Linked DNA regions of Rattus norvegicus. The protein of the gene in region 1 purifies or fractionates together with the protein of each later gene. This does not show direct contact. Links are inferred from orthologs where the notes say so. Each region holds a gene or a part of one and is shown on either strand. Other genes may lie near its edges. The genes, in order: Hdac5 and Prkd1.

Region 1 (9,305 bases):
TACATAGTCAGACCCTGTCTAGGAAATAAAGTGGTAAAACAAAACAGACAAACAAACAAACAAAAAACCAGCCAAATAGGATGGCATATGCTAACATCGGGAAAGCTGAGGCAAGATAATTCCCAAGTTTAAGTTTGGTAAATTCAAGGTCAGCTTGGACTACATACCTCTCTCTCTCTCTCTCTCTCTCTCTCTCTCTCTCTCTCACACACACACACACACACACACACACACACACACACACACACACACACACACCTGGGAGATCCAATGCTCTCCCCTGGCCTCCTGGGGCACCCAGGCACTACGCACATGGTACATGGTACACAGACATATAAAACAGGCAAACCGATCACAAAGATAAAGGAGTTAAAATAAATAAATAAAAATGTGCTTGTTGGGGCTGGGGATTTAGCTCAGTGGTAGAGTGCTTGCCTAGGAAGCGCAAGGCCCTGGGTTCGGTCCCCAGCTCCGAAAAAAAGAAAAAAGAAGCAAAAAAAAAAAAATGTGCTTGTTTGTTTAACCAAAAGTAAAAGCACACAAACTAAAATGTTTAGAATTATGTAAGGCCAACTTCACAGATCACTTAAGCTCTGTGGATGCTAGGCTCAGACTCCTGCCACAGTGAGGCCTTAACTGTCATTCATGTTGTCTGAAGGTCACTCTGTGAACCTGAACCATCAGAGCCTTTCCTACACACTGTACCATGACCAGCAGCTAGGTGCCACTGAAAGAGAAAAAGTTCTGGGAGCGGCGTCCTCTCGACTCTAGAGCTTGAAGGCCATCTCCCTGGCTTCACGGCCTGTGCTCAAATCTCAGCAGTGGGGTCCCTTCCATCCCCCCCAAATCACCTGAAACAAATAAGCACAAGCTTTGGTCCCTGCTTTCCAGGCCCCCAGCTCTAAGTAGTCTAATACTTTCCCATCCCTGACCTTACTGTCCCCCACTCTAGGTGACACCTCTGCCCTCTCTATCCTCCTGGGGCAAGGTGCTGGGCGACCCTCAGCCCTTCCTCCAGCAAGACAGAAGCAACATGAGACTGACCTCAGAGACCCTCAGAATGTCAGTAAGGAAAAGGCCCAGGAGCTCGGCAACTCAACGCCCCCAGCTGCAGGAGGAGAAAGTGAGGCCACAGAGGGAGTAGGCTTGTCCAAGGTCACCTGAAAAGGAGGCAGAGGAGCCAGTGCTTAATCTAGACTCTCCTGGCTCTCTCTGCCCCGCTCCCTACAAAGCAAAAGGGGAAAGCCTAGAGGCTGGCACCGAATAGAGAGAGAGATGCAACAAGGAGCCCTGAGGGTCAAACAACCTAAATAAGGCACCTGAGTGGTACCAGCATACCAGAGCCCAAAGGTAGAAGGGAGAGGGGGGCAAGTGGGGCAGGGGGGAAGAGCTGGAGGCAGGCTGAGACTCTGAAAGACCTTACAGGGATGCAGAATCCATGTAGGGGCCACAAGATGTCCCTGGAGTCAGCGCTGACCTTAGGTTGCTATCTAGAAGAGAAAATTCCCATCTCCCCACCATCCTGAGAATATCTGGGCTTGAAAGCTGCTGCAGACAATTAAAAGGCACAGTAACCATGCAAAACCTGCGGTGACTGCTCCTACCTGGGGGTGGGGGTTGGGTTGGGGGTGGGGGTGGGGGTTGGAGTGGGGGTGGCAAGGGCCCCAGGACAGATCTTGCTTGCATTCTCCATGCACAGCCCCGGCTTCTGTGTCCAGCAAGGCACCCTGTCCGCCTGGCTGCATGCCATTATCCCCCAGTGAGTTTAGACACCTGCTCCTGGCATCTCAAAACATCCTCTCTCCAGACTGCCAGGCTGCTGGGAATTGTATTTGCCTGTCTAGGATAACAGCCGCCCGCCTGCCCTCTGCATAGACCCTTCTCCCACCAGGGCCTTCCACGAAACCTGAGAGGCAGCCCAGACGCTAACACACTGTACATCTAACAGGCTGTACATCAGAACTGCCAGAGGAGGCGTTTAGACATTGCTTCCCGAGGTGTCCTGCACACTCAGAACCTGCCTCTGACCACATCTCCTTGGCAATTCTCTTGCAATTCAAAGCTGGAGAACCGCTGTCTCGCAAAGTCCCCGGACTGCCTGCACTCATTCCTGTTGACAGTCTGACAGCTGGTACAGCTGTGTGTGGACACGGTTAATCTGACTTCCTGTCTGGCAGCTGTACAGAGGGGAAGGGACAGCTGAGGGTCTCAAAAACAAGATGAGGTAGGAGGCCATGGGGGCAGAAGACGCTGTCTGCATGGGAGAGCAGTTTTACTCCGTTCTTGGGCGCTCGTCTTCCTTTGAGTCAAAGCAACGCAGGGAGAGTTAATTGGTCAAGAGGTTCCAAGTATTTGTAAGGGGGAGGGGCTACTCCTGGACACCCCAGGAGTGGAGCCAGAATGAGCCCTATTCTCTAGGAGCTCAGACTTTAGAAGGACATAAGGTTGTACATGTTGGATACTGCAGATGGGTCCCCAACTGAAGGGACAAACAGTTAAAATCTAGCCCATGCTCTGGTTACTAAGCCATAGACACTAGGTCCGAGGACACACCCACCCAGACAAAGGACTATTTTTTTTTTTAATCTAAGAGAAAGGTTTTGTATGGGTTAACAACGGCCCCACCCAGACAAACCTGAGTTCAAAGCTTAGCTGCTACTTAATCTGTGCTCTGGGTAAAGTCTTTCATGTCTCTAACCCTTCTCCACTATGGGATGTGGGTAACATCCTTCCTAAAAGGGACCAGTAAGGAAAGTCCCGAGTATCCTTGTCGCCTCGTGGATTACAATATTAGTTCCACTCAAGTCCTGCCCTTCCTACCTTCCTGGCATCCCCACACCTACACATTCCTGACACACAGCCATGCTTGGAATGGCCTCACGAACCTAAATAGGAACAGCCAGGGAAAGCCCCGGTTGCAAACCTGAACCTCATGGGACTTCCCAACATCCAGAGCATTCCTTCCTGGCACAAACCAGATCCGTACCTCCCTCAGCTGGTAGGGAAGCCTCTTCTGCCATTCCTTTTCACAGTTCACAGTATCCAAGGGCTCAGCTCAAGCAGAAATGGACAAGGGGAAGTCGGAGCCCCGCTCAGGGTCATCGGGAATCTCACAGTGGAATCAAAGGTCCCAGGAGCCTTAAGCTAGGACCGAGCCTAGTATACGAAGGTGCTCACTGCACACTGGGCAGTGACGGGGTAGCCAGACAGAGACACAGCCAGTCACACGCAATGGGAGGAAAATTGGTCCCTTTCCCCTTCCTTAATCAAGAAGAGCTAAGTGAGTGTTTCTGCCCCTCTTGAGCTCTCTTACCCTTAGGTGCCCACTGTAGCTGTCTCTATCCAGCCACCAGGTCAAGCCCCAAAATAGCACCCAGGCATCCTGCCAGAGGGCTGGGCCTCCACCCCCTCATCCAACACTCATTCATCTAAGTACCACCCACTGCGCTAGGTGTGTGTGTATGGGGGGGGGTAATGAGCACCCAACAACACAGCAGAGGAAACAAAAGCTGCCCCCAAATAAGAGTTCCCAGCACTTGCTGCTTTAAGGGACAGAGAGCTAGCATCTCAGAAGGCCCCTTCTCCAATCCCTTGGGTGGGGGACACCAGCAACGTCATCCGAGAACACACCCCTGGAAACGGGCTTTTTTGGCTGTAGGCTTCTGTGCCTTGTCCCGAGACTGCTCAAGAAATTGGAAGGAGAGGGTGCATGAGGGGAAAAGGGACTGAAGGGAAACACCAGGCTTCTGGGCCCTCACGGCCATGTTTATCTAGGGAGGATTTTTTTTTTAACCCAAAGGTTAAAGTGTTTCTATTTGAAACGACTATTTACATTCCAGAGTCCAAAAAAAAAAAAAAAAAAAAAAGCAGCCAAGCTCCAGGCCTATATCTGTCCCCAGCCGCGTCACAGACACAGCATCAGAACTGCTCAGGGGAACATTCTTAGCCCTCTCCCCGAGCTGCTGGGGTGACTCACACCTCCCTCCTGCCAGCAGGGACTGCACCACACTCTGAAGGCCAGGTTGGAGGGGGGGCTGGGGGGTGGAGATCTAGAGAGAGGGATTGGCTGGGGTATATATATCCAGGGATAGAAGAATGTGGTCCCAAACTTTCAGGGATTCTGGTGTCCAAAGCAAAGAAGACGAAATCAGCAGGAACTTGGGGCCAACTGGTAGCTCACTGCAGAATGGGTGACCAGCTAGAAGCCACCCTAGGTGATGCTCTACATCCCTTAACCTCCCAGGAGTTCCCATGAACATGCAGAGGCCCAGGTTTGGGGGTTGAGGACAGAGCTGTAGTTCCATTAGTCCTGAACAAGCACCAGCCTCTTGGGCTCCATCCCGGGGACTTGGTAGGCACACTGCAGAGCTGGTCTCCATGACTATGCCCTATACTAGGACACTGAATGGACGGGCATCCCTATCTATGTCCAAGCTGACAGCAAATCACATTCCAAGGATTTTCCAAACCTTCCCAAAACATCCTTCCGACACAGCCCAGTCTACTGAAGTCTTATCCCTGGACAGCTGAGAGCCAAATCACAGGTACCCACCAGAGAGAAACAGAGCTCCCACCTTCTAATTGAAACCTTCAGATCCACACATACACATATATATTCATTCTCATTCTCTCTCTCTCTCTCTCTCTCTCTCTCTCTCTCTCTCTCTCTCTCTCTCACCAAGCCAGCCACTGCCAGGAGGGGCCAAGCAGGCATGGGTCCAGCAAGTCCCTCCCTGGAGGAAGCATCTTGCCCGCCTGGTGGCAACAGGTTTCTGGGAGTGAGCGAAGGAGTGGCCAGCTTTGGGGGGACCCCACCCCCTACCAAGGATCAAAAAAGTTTCCCCAGAGAAGGTGGCAGGGCAAGGAATCCTCATGCTTAGGTTACAAGGGAGGTCCTCAAGCCCACCTGTGGTCAAAGAAACACTTCCTTATCCTCAGAAAGTGGGAAGAAGCCACAGCCCCGGGAAGGAAGAGATAGGAGGGAACTAGACTAGGAACTAAGCCAAAACCCTCAAACACCCCAGCTGCTAGCCTCTGCTCAACCCTATCCCAACAAGCCTCTTCCTAAGTGTCCATTCTTAAGAAGCCTCCAGACCAGAAACTTGCCAAAGTCACTACACTCTGACCAGGTCAAACCAAGCCACAGAAGCTTGGCTTCTGATTCCTGTAGGTACTCCAGGTACAACTTCTTCCTCTGCTCAATGGTGGGGAGAGCAAGGCAGCCTGGAGATCGGTCACTGACCCACTTCCTCCCCTCTGACCATGGTCCAACTAGGCCAGAATTCTCTAGGAAGCCCTAGCCCCTAGCAGCTGAGGCTGACCCTGCTGAAGGCAGAGGCACTGGAGAGACAGTGGCTAGGAGGCAGCGTGAGAGGATGGCCCTGGGCAAGGAGGGAAGGAAAACTGCTCTAGCCGCTCAGTTCTTCCAATCCATGGATGCTCAACAAAACCCTCAAAGGCTGAAGCAGAACCCCGAGGGAGCAACACTCACAGTGGGGTGCTCAAACCAGGTGCGAGGATGCCCAAGAGCTGAGGGCAGGTGGGGACACAGAGCCACTTACCTGCCACAGGGATGCTGTGCAGAGGAGTCCGTGGCAAGATTTCCAAGGATGGTTCCCGGCCTGACATGCCATCTGCTGAGAAACAGGACTCGGTCTCATAGATGGTCTGCAGCATCTCCACAAGCCCCTGTGCCTTGGGCACCAGCAGCATGCCAGGGAGGGGCCGCCCGAGGCGGAAGCCGGTGAGGGAAAGGTGGTCAGCAGGGCCAGCCGGCTGCTCAAGGACTCCCTCAGGCCACTGCCGCTGGGACCCACAAGGCAAGGAGGCACCTCATCCGGCCTGGGCGCTCCCGAGGCAGCAGGCGCAGGGAGGCTGAAGAGGCTGCAGGCCTGTTCTCCACTACGGGAGCATGGACCGAGGTCCGTCTAAAGGTTCCAGGAGTTGGGCTATGGCTGGGTGCTCAAGGGACAGGAAGGGGAGCTCAGTGGGCAGGCAGACTCTCTCAGTGTTCCCTCCCAGAGCCACCGGTGACAGCTCTGGGCTTGGCTCCCTGCTCCTCCTCCCCGAATGAGCCGCCGGCAGCTGGCAGGAGACTGAAATAGCAGTTGGGGGAGGGCCCTGTCTATAAATAGGTGGAGCATGCTCAGGGAGCCGCCGGCTGGCTGCCAGGAGCCCAGGCCTGGCGGAGGCCCCATGGGGGGAGGCGCGTTCCACCCCAGGAGGAAGCGCCAGTCAAGGGGGAGGGGGGCAAGGGAGGCCTGCACTCAGGGCCAAGGCCACAGACCTGGGTGGCCAGTGGCTGAACTAGAGAAAGGTGCAGGAGAGGACCCATGCTTCTGGGATCAGCTTTGGCCACTGCTGCTGGGGGCAAACAATGAACTGGACAGCAAGCAGCCAGCCTGGATCTTCTATCTTCCCCCTTTCTGTGCAGAGGAAAGGAATCAGAAAGACTAGGAAGAGGTGACAGACACCCAACCACCTGGTCTAACCTCACACCTCCTCCTTACAGCCTGTGGAGTTTGTGTAACTTCTGCCTTCCCACAGAGCCGGGAGATGCCTCCCTACAGTCTTACTATCAGGGAGACCCTAAATAGCAGTGGGGTGGCAGCTCTCCCACCCATTCTAGTACCACCTCTGGCACTCCGCCTCTTTTCAGGGAGCAGAGAGATTTTTCTGGGTAGGCTTTGCCCAGCCCAGGCAGGGGACTGGTCAGCACCAGCCCATTCTCAGCTCAATCAACGCTTTCCTGGCAATGTACCCAGCTGAGAGCACCACAAACCGCAAACATCATTGCCTTTATGCTAACAATGACCACCAGAAAGAGGCCAAGATGGGGAAGCTGAGTTACAGGAAGACGAAAGTTACTCTTGTCATAGAGCTGCTCACGGGATTGGTTGGGACTAGAAGTCTGAAGCACTGACCACCATAACTCATGGGCAGAATATACATCTGTCCCAGGGACAGGACCTCCAGTGCCCAAGTAGAAAGACTTGGGGTTGGAGGCCCTCCAGCTAGTCATGAAGCTGTTAGCACCCTGGCCTGGTGGAGTAGCCCCAGCTCTCCACCTTCCTGGGCCATGGGGCCACCGAACCATCAAAATTGATGCCACTGCCAGCACCACGCACTGTTGACCTCCCCCTTCTTCCCGAGTTGTGCCTCCCACTGATAAAGAGATCCCACTTGGCCCCCTGACCTCACTGGAGCCTTTTAATAGACTGGTTATTCCTGGGTCTATAGCCTCCTCCCCTCTCCTGACGTCACAGTTACTATTTTGGACCCCTCCTGCCCCCTCCTTGCCCCCCACTCCAGGCACGGAGCCAGGGACACCTGTCCTCTCTCTGGACTGGATGACCTCACCCTCCTGTCAGGAGCCTGGGAGAAGCAGTCCAACCAAGGACATGGAGGCTGTGACTCCAGAAACCCATCTTCCAAGCTTCTGCCTCCTCCCTCAGGTGGGAAAACACACACCAGGGTGGTGGTAGAAACAAGCTTTTCCAAGCCTAGTGAGATGCAGATGACCCTGGGGTTTGGGGTTTGTTTCCCAGTGGTAGACTAGGAACTGAAGTGGGAGGAGTCTAGAGCAAGGAGTCACGACAGATTCTAGAAGGAAAGGCAGGAGACCTGTGCAATCCGGGGGCTTGGTGCTGGAAAACATCACCTATCTACTGCCCCTCCCCCAGCTGCATCCAGATCAACGAGGTCTCTCAAGAGGAGAAGGAAAGACCAGAGGCTCTACCAAGGACAGTCAGAGGCAGACACAAGGGAGCCCAGAAAGCCGGGGGTAGCAGCCCCTCCCAGACGGAGCTCCACCCACCCACGCTGAGAACAACCAGAAGGGCTGGCTAGCCCTGTCCTGGCACACTCTTACCTGCCCCAGGCACAGGAGAGAGACAAGGGAGCCCTGCTCAGGGAAGGACAGCAGCTATGACAAATTGAAAGCAAAGCCCCTGGGACCCTAGATTAGCCTGATGTCAAAGGAGGTCTCCCTTTTGTTGTTGTTTGAGACAGGGTCCCACTCTGTAGCCAAGGCTAGCCTTGAACTCACAATGAGCCTCCTGATTCAACCTTTCCACTGCTGGGACTATAGGTTTAAACTATTAAGCTTGGTAAAGAGGATTCTTCACAACTCTTTGAGGACAGGGGCACTCAAAGGCTCAGTGAGAACAGCCAGCACTGGTATGACTTCTACACTTTAGCAAGAGGTCTCCCATCTTCAACGCAATTTCCAGAAACCTCTGAGGAAATGTGCGGGGACAGGTCTAGGGGGAGGAACGACAAGCATCCCTCCTCTTCAGAGATGCAGATGATGTAACGAGGTCTTCCTAATGTTTAACCTCAAGCTTTCCTGCTACAGCACCCCTCTCTCCTGCCTACTTTTCCATTCCTATCCATCCACCGCTCCCAAGACCCACCCCACAAATCTCCCAGAGTGCTCACGAAGCGTGTAGTCCACGAGACACATCCTAAGCCAGCATCAGCAAGTTCAAGCCCAGCTTGGGCTACATAACCAGCTCTGTTCTCCCAGCAGCACCTCTACTCCCTACCTCTAAGGCCACGCTCTGCCCTTCCAATCCTGGAGCAGAAGGGAGAGCCCATTGCTGCCTCCTTCAGCTCTGCCTGATCTTATTTCCTGGGCCCAAAGACTGGCCTGCGGCTCTGACCAAAAGGGAAGAGAAGTCTTCTGCCCAAAGCTGGTCCAGAGCCCCTGGGCTGGGAGATGCCTGGGAACCATCAACCCTGGTACCCTGTAGTTCTTCCTTTGAGCCCAGTCATGCTGGAACCCGCCAGTATGGCCCAGCCAGGTCCACAGTTAGGTACTGGCTGAATCTCCTCATTTAAAAGCAACTGTAGGAAGAATGTGGACACACACTTTGTCATCTTCTACTTCCCCTCTCCTCACCAGTCAGTCCTAAGCCTTCAATCCCTCTGGAAGCCGAGCAGAGGAAGAGAAAGGAGACTCCAATCTGCCAAGGCACCTATAGGGAGAGGAGACCAAGGGTCTTCTCCCCAGACCCCTGCCCATGCCAACCAGCACTGACCCACTTTCTCCTCCTTTGGCTGGCTGCCTGCCTTCCCAGGGGCTCAGCAGCAGAGCCTGAGGCAGGGAGACAGGACGCCAAGGTTCCTGGCTCCACCCCACACCCATGCCCCAGTTTCTCTGGTCACCCCAAAGGGAGGGGGCAGTTGCCCTCCCTCCTGGGAAAGGGAAGGAGAGAAAGTATAGAGGGCGCTAGGAGGTGCTGGGCAGACAGGTGTTATCATCCAGCTCATCTTCCTCCCACGCAGGGCATAAGGAACCTAGA
Region 2 (8,647 bases), on another chromosome or scaffold:
TAAAAGTACCTATAGAAACTTGTCACAGTGGGATCATTAAATAGCTTCTTGAGTTAAATTGTGATTTGTTTTGGCCTAATGCCCTTAAATGTTTCACCATCAAAATCACATTCCCACTGAGAAACTGCACTTGTTTTTGTAAAGCACGTGGACTTTTAACGTTTTGTAACTTCTGTTTCAGAGGAAAAGGCATTACTGGAGACTGGACAGCAAAAGCATCACACTCTTCCAAAACGACACAGGCAGCCGGTACTACAAGGTGAGGCCGGCTTCTCTCAGTTTTGCTTCATGATATTCCTTAAGGTAATCTGGAAGTTGGTCGACATCCAGCAGTGTGACTATTCCTGGGATCCTGAGAGAGAGAGAGAGAGAGAGAGAGAGAGAGAGAGAGAGAGAGAGAGAGAGAGAGAGAGAGAGAGAGAGAGAGAGCGCTTTGAATTGGTGGTGTGCAGTTTTTGTAGAAATTCAGATGTGACATCTTGATTCATGTGCCATCTCACTGTTGCCAGCAAACGGCTTCTGGCCCAGGGATGCCAAAGAGCAGGATGACAGAGAAGGAGATGGAGGGAAGCTAAGGGAAGCATTTCAGCAGAGTTGCTTGGTTTTACTAGAGAGTCAGTGGGCACAACCAGTGACTAAGAGGAAAGCCTCACATCCTCAGACAACCAGCACTGCATGTTAGCAGGTAGAAAGAACCATTCCTCCGCCATTGCCAGCAGTTAAGAGGATCACATCCCTGCATTTATCATCAATTGTCTGCCTTTCTACGTTAAGTAATAAATGTGTAGTATCTAGTGTAGTCCCTGTGATCCTTCATGCTCCCTGTTACACAGCTGTGACACCAAAGAAAAGGTTATTACATTTTTAATTGAAAAACTAAGTTATTACTTTAGTTACTTTCTGCATCCCGCAGTATGGTGTGGCACTTCAGGTTTTCAATACTTAAATGATAAAAATAATTAGTTTGGGGGTTGGGAGAAATAGCTCATTCAATAAATTACTCACCACATAACCCTGGGGATCTGGGATCTGAGTTTAAATTTTCATAATGCATTATTGTCATCATCATTTTCATCGTCATCATCATCATCACCCAGGCATAGTCTAATATGTCTTAAAACCCTAATGTAGGTGCAGCAGACAGAGGCAGATTTTTGGAGCCTTTCAGTAAGCCCTGAGTTCATCGAGAGATCCTGTCTCGAGGATGAGTAATAGTGATTCAGGCAAATTATTTAAAAACAAAACTACTTTGTAAAGAAATTACTGTGGTTTTTCTCAATGAACACTCATCTATATAACTACATTATATTATCATATAGAATCAAAGTATATTTGAATGTGGTAATTCAAGAAATACTTGAAATAAAAAGCAGCCATGAATAACCAAATGCATTTTAGAAAATATTATAATTTGCTTCAAAGCTTCTATTAGGAAGAAAAGAAGGAAGGAAGGGAGGGAGGAAGGAAGGAAGGAAGGAAGGAAGGAAGGAAGGAAGGAAGGAAGGAAGGGGGGAAGGAAGAAAGGAAGGAAGGAAGGAAGGAAGGATGGAAAGAAAAGATGGAGAGAAAAGGGAAATTTCTCAGAAAGTGTAATAAGGCCTCTTGTTATAAAAATTTACATTTTATACATACTGTATATGTTATAAAATGTTGTCTGTATATTCTATTTGTAACTTCCTTTCTTACACAGCATGGGTTTTATTTAATAATTGACATGCGTTTGGCTAACTACGTTTATCATACTTTGTCTTCCACAGGAAATTCCTTTATCAGAAATTTTATGTCTGGAACCAGCAAAACCTTCAGCATTAATTCCCACTGGAGCTAACCCTCATTGTTTTGAAATCACTACAGCAAACGTAGTGTATTATGTGGGAGAAAACGTGGTCAACCCTTCAAGCCCCCCACCAAACAACAGCGTCCCCCCGAGCGGCATCGGTACCGATGTGGCGAGGATGTGGGAGGTCGCCATCCAGCACGCTCTCATGCCTGTCATCCCCAAGGGCTCCTCTGTGGGTTCCGGAACCAACTCACACAGTGAGTCCAATGACTTCCGTCTGTCACGGGGTACATACATATACTTCAGTCTGTCACGGGGTACATACATATACTCGGGCCCCTGAAGGTCGAGTAGGAAACCTCCTGCTTTCCCCAAAGAGACTCACTGTGCTGGCTCCGGTTTGTGGCACAACAAGGAATCACTGAAGAGAAGCTGCTATGCTTACTAAAATGTTTCATTTATTAAACTGTTTTACTTATTTTATAGTAGAACTTTTATAAAGCCAAGCAGAGCCTATATACTGTATGACCAAAGGTGCCCACAGTTGTTGTTCCTAAGAGAACCCGTACAGTCAGTTTGAGCGTCACTTGGATTGCCACAGATATGAACAAGATGTATTTGCCACAGATTCCCTCCTCCTCCTGTACCCGTGGTATAAACCGTTGTTCCTACTTGATGACCTTATCCCAGGAAGACATTTCTGTGCATTAGTAAGAGAGGGTCAGCCAGAGTGTAATCACGATGGAGTGCTGAAGGGGAATCTAAAGAAATGGAGGAGTATCTATATGAAATTATGATCTGAATTCTAGCATGCAACCTGCACATTAACCTGTTTTAACATTATAGTAGATTTTATCTGTCATAATTACCTTTTTTCTCCTCAGCCAGTATATTAATAGGATATGTGCTTATTCTGTCTAAAAGAATGTATCTGTATATAAACTAAGCACTTACTCGAAGACCTCTCTGTTAACTCCGAAAACCCCGTCCCTTAATGATTTGCCCACATTCTAACAGGAACAGTTCATCTCTAGAAAGTTAATGGTCTCTTAGCTAACAGAACTGCTGCATGGGACAGCCAGAGTTGGAAGTCTTCCTTTAGTCTGAGCTCTGTACTGACAAATGCATATGTAAAAACAAATTGTAGATACAATGTTTAATGTTAAGGGAACAAATATATTTTAATAGAAACTTTGCAGAAAAATCTAATTGCTGTGATGAATATAATATAGTAATATAAATGTAGCCCAATGGGATTTTTTAATATATTTTTACTATTTTATGTCTGTTTTTTTTTTAAAACATGCACTTCCAGAAGATATTTCGGTGAGCATTTCCGTTTCGAATAGCCAGATTCAGGAAAATGTGGTAAGTCTGTGTCTATTAATATACCTCTCAGAATGTGATTTCTGGAAAATAGAAAGTATCACATGATAGATTTTTATTTATCTAAATTTCTGTTTATTTTCTTTCATGATATTTTACAAAATCAGTTTACTGATTTTCCTATATTCTATAATATAGTACCAAACACTGTTTGTAATAAAAGACAGTTGTAGTATGATCATTTATCTTGTTTTTTTTTTGTATTTTGTTTTTGTATGTTTGTTTGGGGGGGATTTGTTTTGTTTTGTTTTGTTTTGTTTTGTTTTATCAAAATAGGATAAGTGGTTTACCAAGAGGCAGGCTTGGTAGTGACAGCTAGGAGTGCCACTGATCTACACTTGATACTTGAAATTTAATGGTTGGTACTGCACAGTAGAATAGATGCAGTAAAATAAAGTTTTTATTTGTAGACGTGTTTTAACATGCATTGCTTACCTCCTTGATAACAAGGCTTGCTGATAATGAAAGGGATTGTAAATATTCTTAGTCACATACACGTGCCACAATGCAGAGCTCAAAGACATTGCAGAAATCAGGAACCACAGTCAGCAGACTTTTCAGATTTCAGAGGCTACAGATCACGTTGTGAGATGTTTCATTTGAGGTTGTGTTTGTTTGATTTTATCTCAGTACTCAAAATGTCATAATGCCTCTTCCTACCTCAGTGCTGTAACCAACAGCATCAACTGCTCGCTCTACCTAAGACCCGAACAGAGCAGTGTACCCTCCTGTTTACAGTGACCTGAGGCTGTTTATCCAAAACCAAACTCCTTCAATGTCTGTTCAGTACTGCTCGTGTCCCTGGAACTCTTGATGAACTTGTTTAAGCTGAACAAAGGCAAGGATAAATTACAGGGAGGCAACTTCACTGTGAAGGTTAAGTGGACGCTTGAACTGTTCAGCCTGAGATGTAGGCCTCAAGACTGCAGGGTTCACCAGCCCTTGTTTAGACAGAGAAGACCTTGGGGAACACAGGTTACTGTAATGCTTCCTGGGTAGTCCCAGGGATCTCAGAGGCCTTTTACCTTGGTTGTCCACTGAAAGTTTTGAAGTGAATTTTCAAAGAAGTTCTAAAGAATCTGTTAGTTAGCTTGGCTGCAGGAAAAACAAAAAACCAGAATAATGATTTCCATTGCAAGAGAGCTTTGAATTCACCTTCTGAATGTTCCAAAGGGATCATGGTATACAAGCTTCCAAGTTGCTTTCTAAGAGAAGAGAAGGACAGTGGTGAGAGTAGATTACAGACAGGGGAGTGTGGCTGATTTTTTTTTTAACAATCAAGAGCTATAAAGTTGAAATAAGTGGAAAATGTGTTAGAATGCACCATACCATGCAAATAAAAAGATAAAACTTTGTAATGTTTCCATGAAGGTGCAATATGAAACCCAAATTAGCTCACCCTCCCTCCAGCGATTATCATTTCCAAGTGGCACTCTGTGTGGGTTATTTATGTAGTAACTGGGAATCCTGGAATGGTTGTCTATTGCTTAGGTTCTTATAGAAATGAAACAATCAGGAGTAGCCTGACTGTCCTGGCCTGAAGGTGAAGCAGGATTGTTACAGACATGTGATGAAGCCATGGAATAGTTAATGAAATTTCTAAATTACTAGTGTAGAAATAAGAATATATTTTCAGATATTTATAGTAAAATCCATTGATTGGTTTGAGGTTCCCCTTCTCTCTATTAAAATGCACCATATCCCAAGTACTTAAGAGCAGAATAGTTTTCAAAATATTATATGAATGCAATTTGAATGTTATAGCCATTGAAATCTTATCCAACATTTACAAGTGTTAAATGAATCTTGGAATATTTAATTATATTTCTATTCAATCAGCTAATAGTAATTATAATTGTAAAGTGTAACAGGATTAAAGCCTTCTCCCTATCTTTGTTTTCCTCTGGATATCTACCGGTAGGATATCAGCACAGTCTATCAGATTTTCCCGGATGAGGTTCTGGGTTCTGGACAGTTCGGAATTGTTTATGGAGGTGAGTAGGTTTAATAAATGTTTTTTATGAACTTAAAAGTTTAGGCACCTGGGTTATTATATTTCTGAGAAAATGATAAACAAGCAAAAGACACGTTATTTGTGTATCTGGGAGTCACCTTCAGAGAAGCTTCTTGTGAGATAGCCATTCTTTGAAAAACTCATAGATTTTTAGAGTTTCCTATTCCTGAAAAGCTTGTTTTCATATATATTTGAAAACCCTACTCACAGTGTTGCAGTAGTTTGAATTTTTGTATTTAAACAAAATGTTGTGGAAACGCAGAGGCTGTAGTTTATGAACAAAGCAGTTCCATTCTGTCAGCATCTTGGACTCGATCCTTACAGGTACGATGTGTCAGTGAATCTGGAATCTTTGAACTTTAACATTTTCCCTGTGTATCCAATTCATAGCATCTGAATGTTTTAGCTTTTCGAGGTCAATGTGGGTGTTTTTTACTTAGATCCTAGACAGTTCGGTCAATTTTTTCAAGCTTTTACATAACATTTAATTTTAAACTTTTGACTGCTATAGAAAAATGGTACCTTAACTTTTCTTTCTTTGGTAATTAACAATTGGTAATTTTTTTGAGTTTGTATTTTATAAAATAATCATGTCTAACACTTTTACTTTTCATCATAAAATTACAAAAGCTCTAAATACAGAATTTTCAAAATTTAAGTTGCTTTATTTTTCAAAGTGATCTTGATTCTTTTAAAAATATCAAACTGTTTTATGGAAACATAATGAATACTAATCACTGTAAACAAGAGTAGTAACTAATGCCTTAATACATAGTCCTATAATAAGAGAAACCACGTTAATCTATTTTCTACAATGTAATAATTGCATAGTTAAAATTATGTTCAATAATGTAGAAAATATATGTCACAGCACATAGGTGATGGTGAGGCAGGGGTGATGATAAGAAAGAAGAGAGAGCAGCAATCAGAAGGGGGTTTGGACATTGGATACTGGTGGACTTGAGAGACTGCGTAACAGGGTGGAGATCCCCAAGGAAGAATGGAAGTGTGAAGGTACACAGATGGAGACAATGAGGATAGGGTCTCAGAGGTGTGTGGTCTCCACAGCGACGGAGAAGTGAGCTACACGAAGCTCTCACTATGTCAGGAGCTGCTGCTGTAAACTGCTGAGTTCAGGTAGAGTCTGTATGAGTCAAGGCATGAGCATTGATGTTTCAAGAAAGTCAGACAATAAAACTGAGGGAATATGCTGATGAAGGGAAGTCATCTCGAAGGGAGTAATGAGCACCATGAGAACAGCATGCAAGAACAGAGGACTGTGGAAGTCAAAGGTGTCGACGGAACATAATTTCAAGGTAGTTTAAATGGCCAACACTTCTCACTAACTGCAACTGTTAACTTGCTAATTAATTAATTGTTTAATGTTTCTCATTTTTATCTTGAAGGTAAACATCGTAAAACAGGAAGAGATGTAGCTATTAAGATTATTGACAAATTAAGATTTCCAACAAAACAAGAAAGTCAGCTTCGTAATGAGGTTGCAATTTTACAGGTAAACCGATTCTTATTTGAGAGTTGTAAATTCCTCTCCTTGACTTCTGTAAAACAATCAAAAGTCATGCAGATACCTACAGCCCAGAAAATTAATGGCAGGTTAAGTGGAAAGGCAAACTGAGTCAGACTTAACTGAGTGGTACACTCCAGAGACTAGAAAAGTTGTTCTTTTTAATGGAATTATACTACACTTTAACATATTAGTAATATTCATTAAATAGCATATTTTCAGGGTGGAATGCTCCAAGCAATTTGTCTTAGATTCAAAATGACCTTACCTTCATAAACACTTTCCCTTTACATGAATGGGATTTGTAGCAGATACCTCAGAAATAGATTGTCTAGCTTTTCCTGTTCCCCTTCATATCTCGCCAGGTGAGTCTTTCTTTGATGTGAAAAATGTCACAATTCCCATTCACAACAATGTCTTGTAACACCAGAATATTTATAAGGCTTACTGTGTGTCTCATATGTTTAATTGTTTGACTCATGTTGGGAAATCAAAAGAAAATTGAGTAGCTGTCTGCCAACTGGTTAACATAGCTGTCTATTCAATGTATCCTTGATAAGTACAGGTTTTAATATACATGCCCAAAAGTCCTACTTTTATAAGTTAATATTAAGTTTTGATTCACAATTTTGTTTAAATTTTCAATTATGGATCGATAGCAAAGCAGTTTGCTGTTCTGCTTCTACTGTTTCATTTAATTCCCATTTGTTGAGTTTTGCCTGTAAATGTAACAGATTTAGTTTTGTCCAGGCTGGGTAGTATAAGCCTATAGTTTCAGTAAGTAGGTTAGGCTGACACAGGAGGATTTCTAGGTGGATACCAACTTGGATTACATAAGGAGACCTAGTAAGAGAAAGTGAGGTGAAGAGAGTGGGAGAGAGAGGGAAGGAGAGAAGGAACTAAAGGAGAAAATGACAACCAAAAACTAATGCCTTCTTGTATGGAAAAATAACATTTTTCTGATTGTCAGAATTCCTAAAACTGCTGCTTTGTTCCTTTGGGCAATAATGTAACACAAAGATCTGTTCACAAAGATCTTTGTCTCTGTACCCACGACCACGGTTACTGTGCCAGTTCTTATATTCATGACTTAGTACTTGCTATTCTGTCACTAGAAAAAAATTAATTGCTGAGGCTAGGGAAATAGCTAAGTGGGAAAAGTCTTGTCACAAAATCCTGAGGAACAGAGTTCAGTTCACAGGCATCTAGAATAAAATCTGGACAGAAAGGGAACAAACTTCTATAATCCTGGCCAGTCAGTCTGGCCATTAAGTGAAGTCCATCCTTAAAAGAGACCATGTCAAAAAGTAGCTTCTAATGGCTCACAGGCTTACACAGCTGCACAAAGACCCTCACACAGAGACAGACAGACAGACAGACACACACACACACACACAGTGTTAACTTTATGACATTAGGTATAAGTAATATCTGTAAATTTAGCAAAGGACATCTTTGCAAGACTGGCTCCTTCCCATGGGGTCTCCTGGGGCATATTCTTTTTAAGAGGAAGAGCTGTGAGACATGGAATTGGTGTCTTTCCACTTCTTGAAGCCGGTGCCCTGGTTTATGTTTTGCTTGAAGTCTAAGAAGTGTTCGGGGGCCTACAGGAGACTGCAGTTTAGTGCTGAGTGGCAAAAAATAGCCATTGGGTAGTTCTGCTAACTCTTCCTTGTTGAGCTTGGTTTCTGACTCTGTAAAGTAGCATATTTTAGTTTATAGAAAGCCTTAAGCTAATGCAAGGATAGTGTGAGTTAAAGCAGAAGTCACCTTAATTTTCCACATGCATTTTTCTGTGTAGGTGTGTAGTTATCTGAGTAGTTATCTTATTCAGTCATTAGAACCGTAAGCTCTTGGACTGTTTTTGAGGAACAAGAGTTAAGTGGATATTAGAAAGTAAGGGGAATAGACCATTTATATCTGTTTTATTACCTGTAAATAC

What was found.
Region 2: the proteins of Hdac5 (region 1) and Prkd1 purify together in Homo sapiens (affinity purification with western blotting; 4 studies listed by BioGRID, with this or other methods). This does not show direct contact. The link is inferred for Rattus norvegicus from reciprocal best matches to the Homo sapiens genes HDAC5 and PRKD1.

The regions. Positions count from the first base shown.
Region 1 is NC_086028.1:87,670,321-87,679,625, forward strand, and holds the start of Hdac5 (histone deacetylase 5), read right to left. Parts: upstream 6,250-9,305; 5' UTR 5,713-6,249; coding exon 5,562-5,712; intron 1,161-5,561; exon of another isoform or gene 1,045-1,160; intron 1-1,044. UniProt on the Homo sapiens protein: Responsible for the deacetylation of lysine residues on the N-terminal part of the core histones (H2A, H2B, H3 and H4).
Region 2 is NC_086024.1:73,501,933-73,510,579, reverse strand, and holds part of Prkd1 (serine/threonine-protein kinase D1), read left to right. Parts: intron 1-181; coding exon 182-259; intron 260-1,757; coding exon 1,758-2,037; coding exon of another isoform or gene 2,038-2,067; intron 2,068-3,095; coding exon 3,096-3,148; intron 3,149-5,087; coding exon 5,088-5,160; intron 5,161-6,586; coding exon 6,587-6,693; intron 6,694-8,647.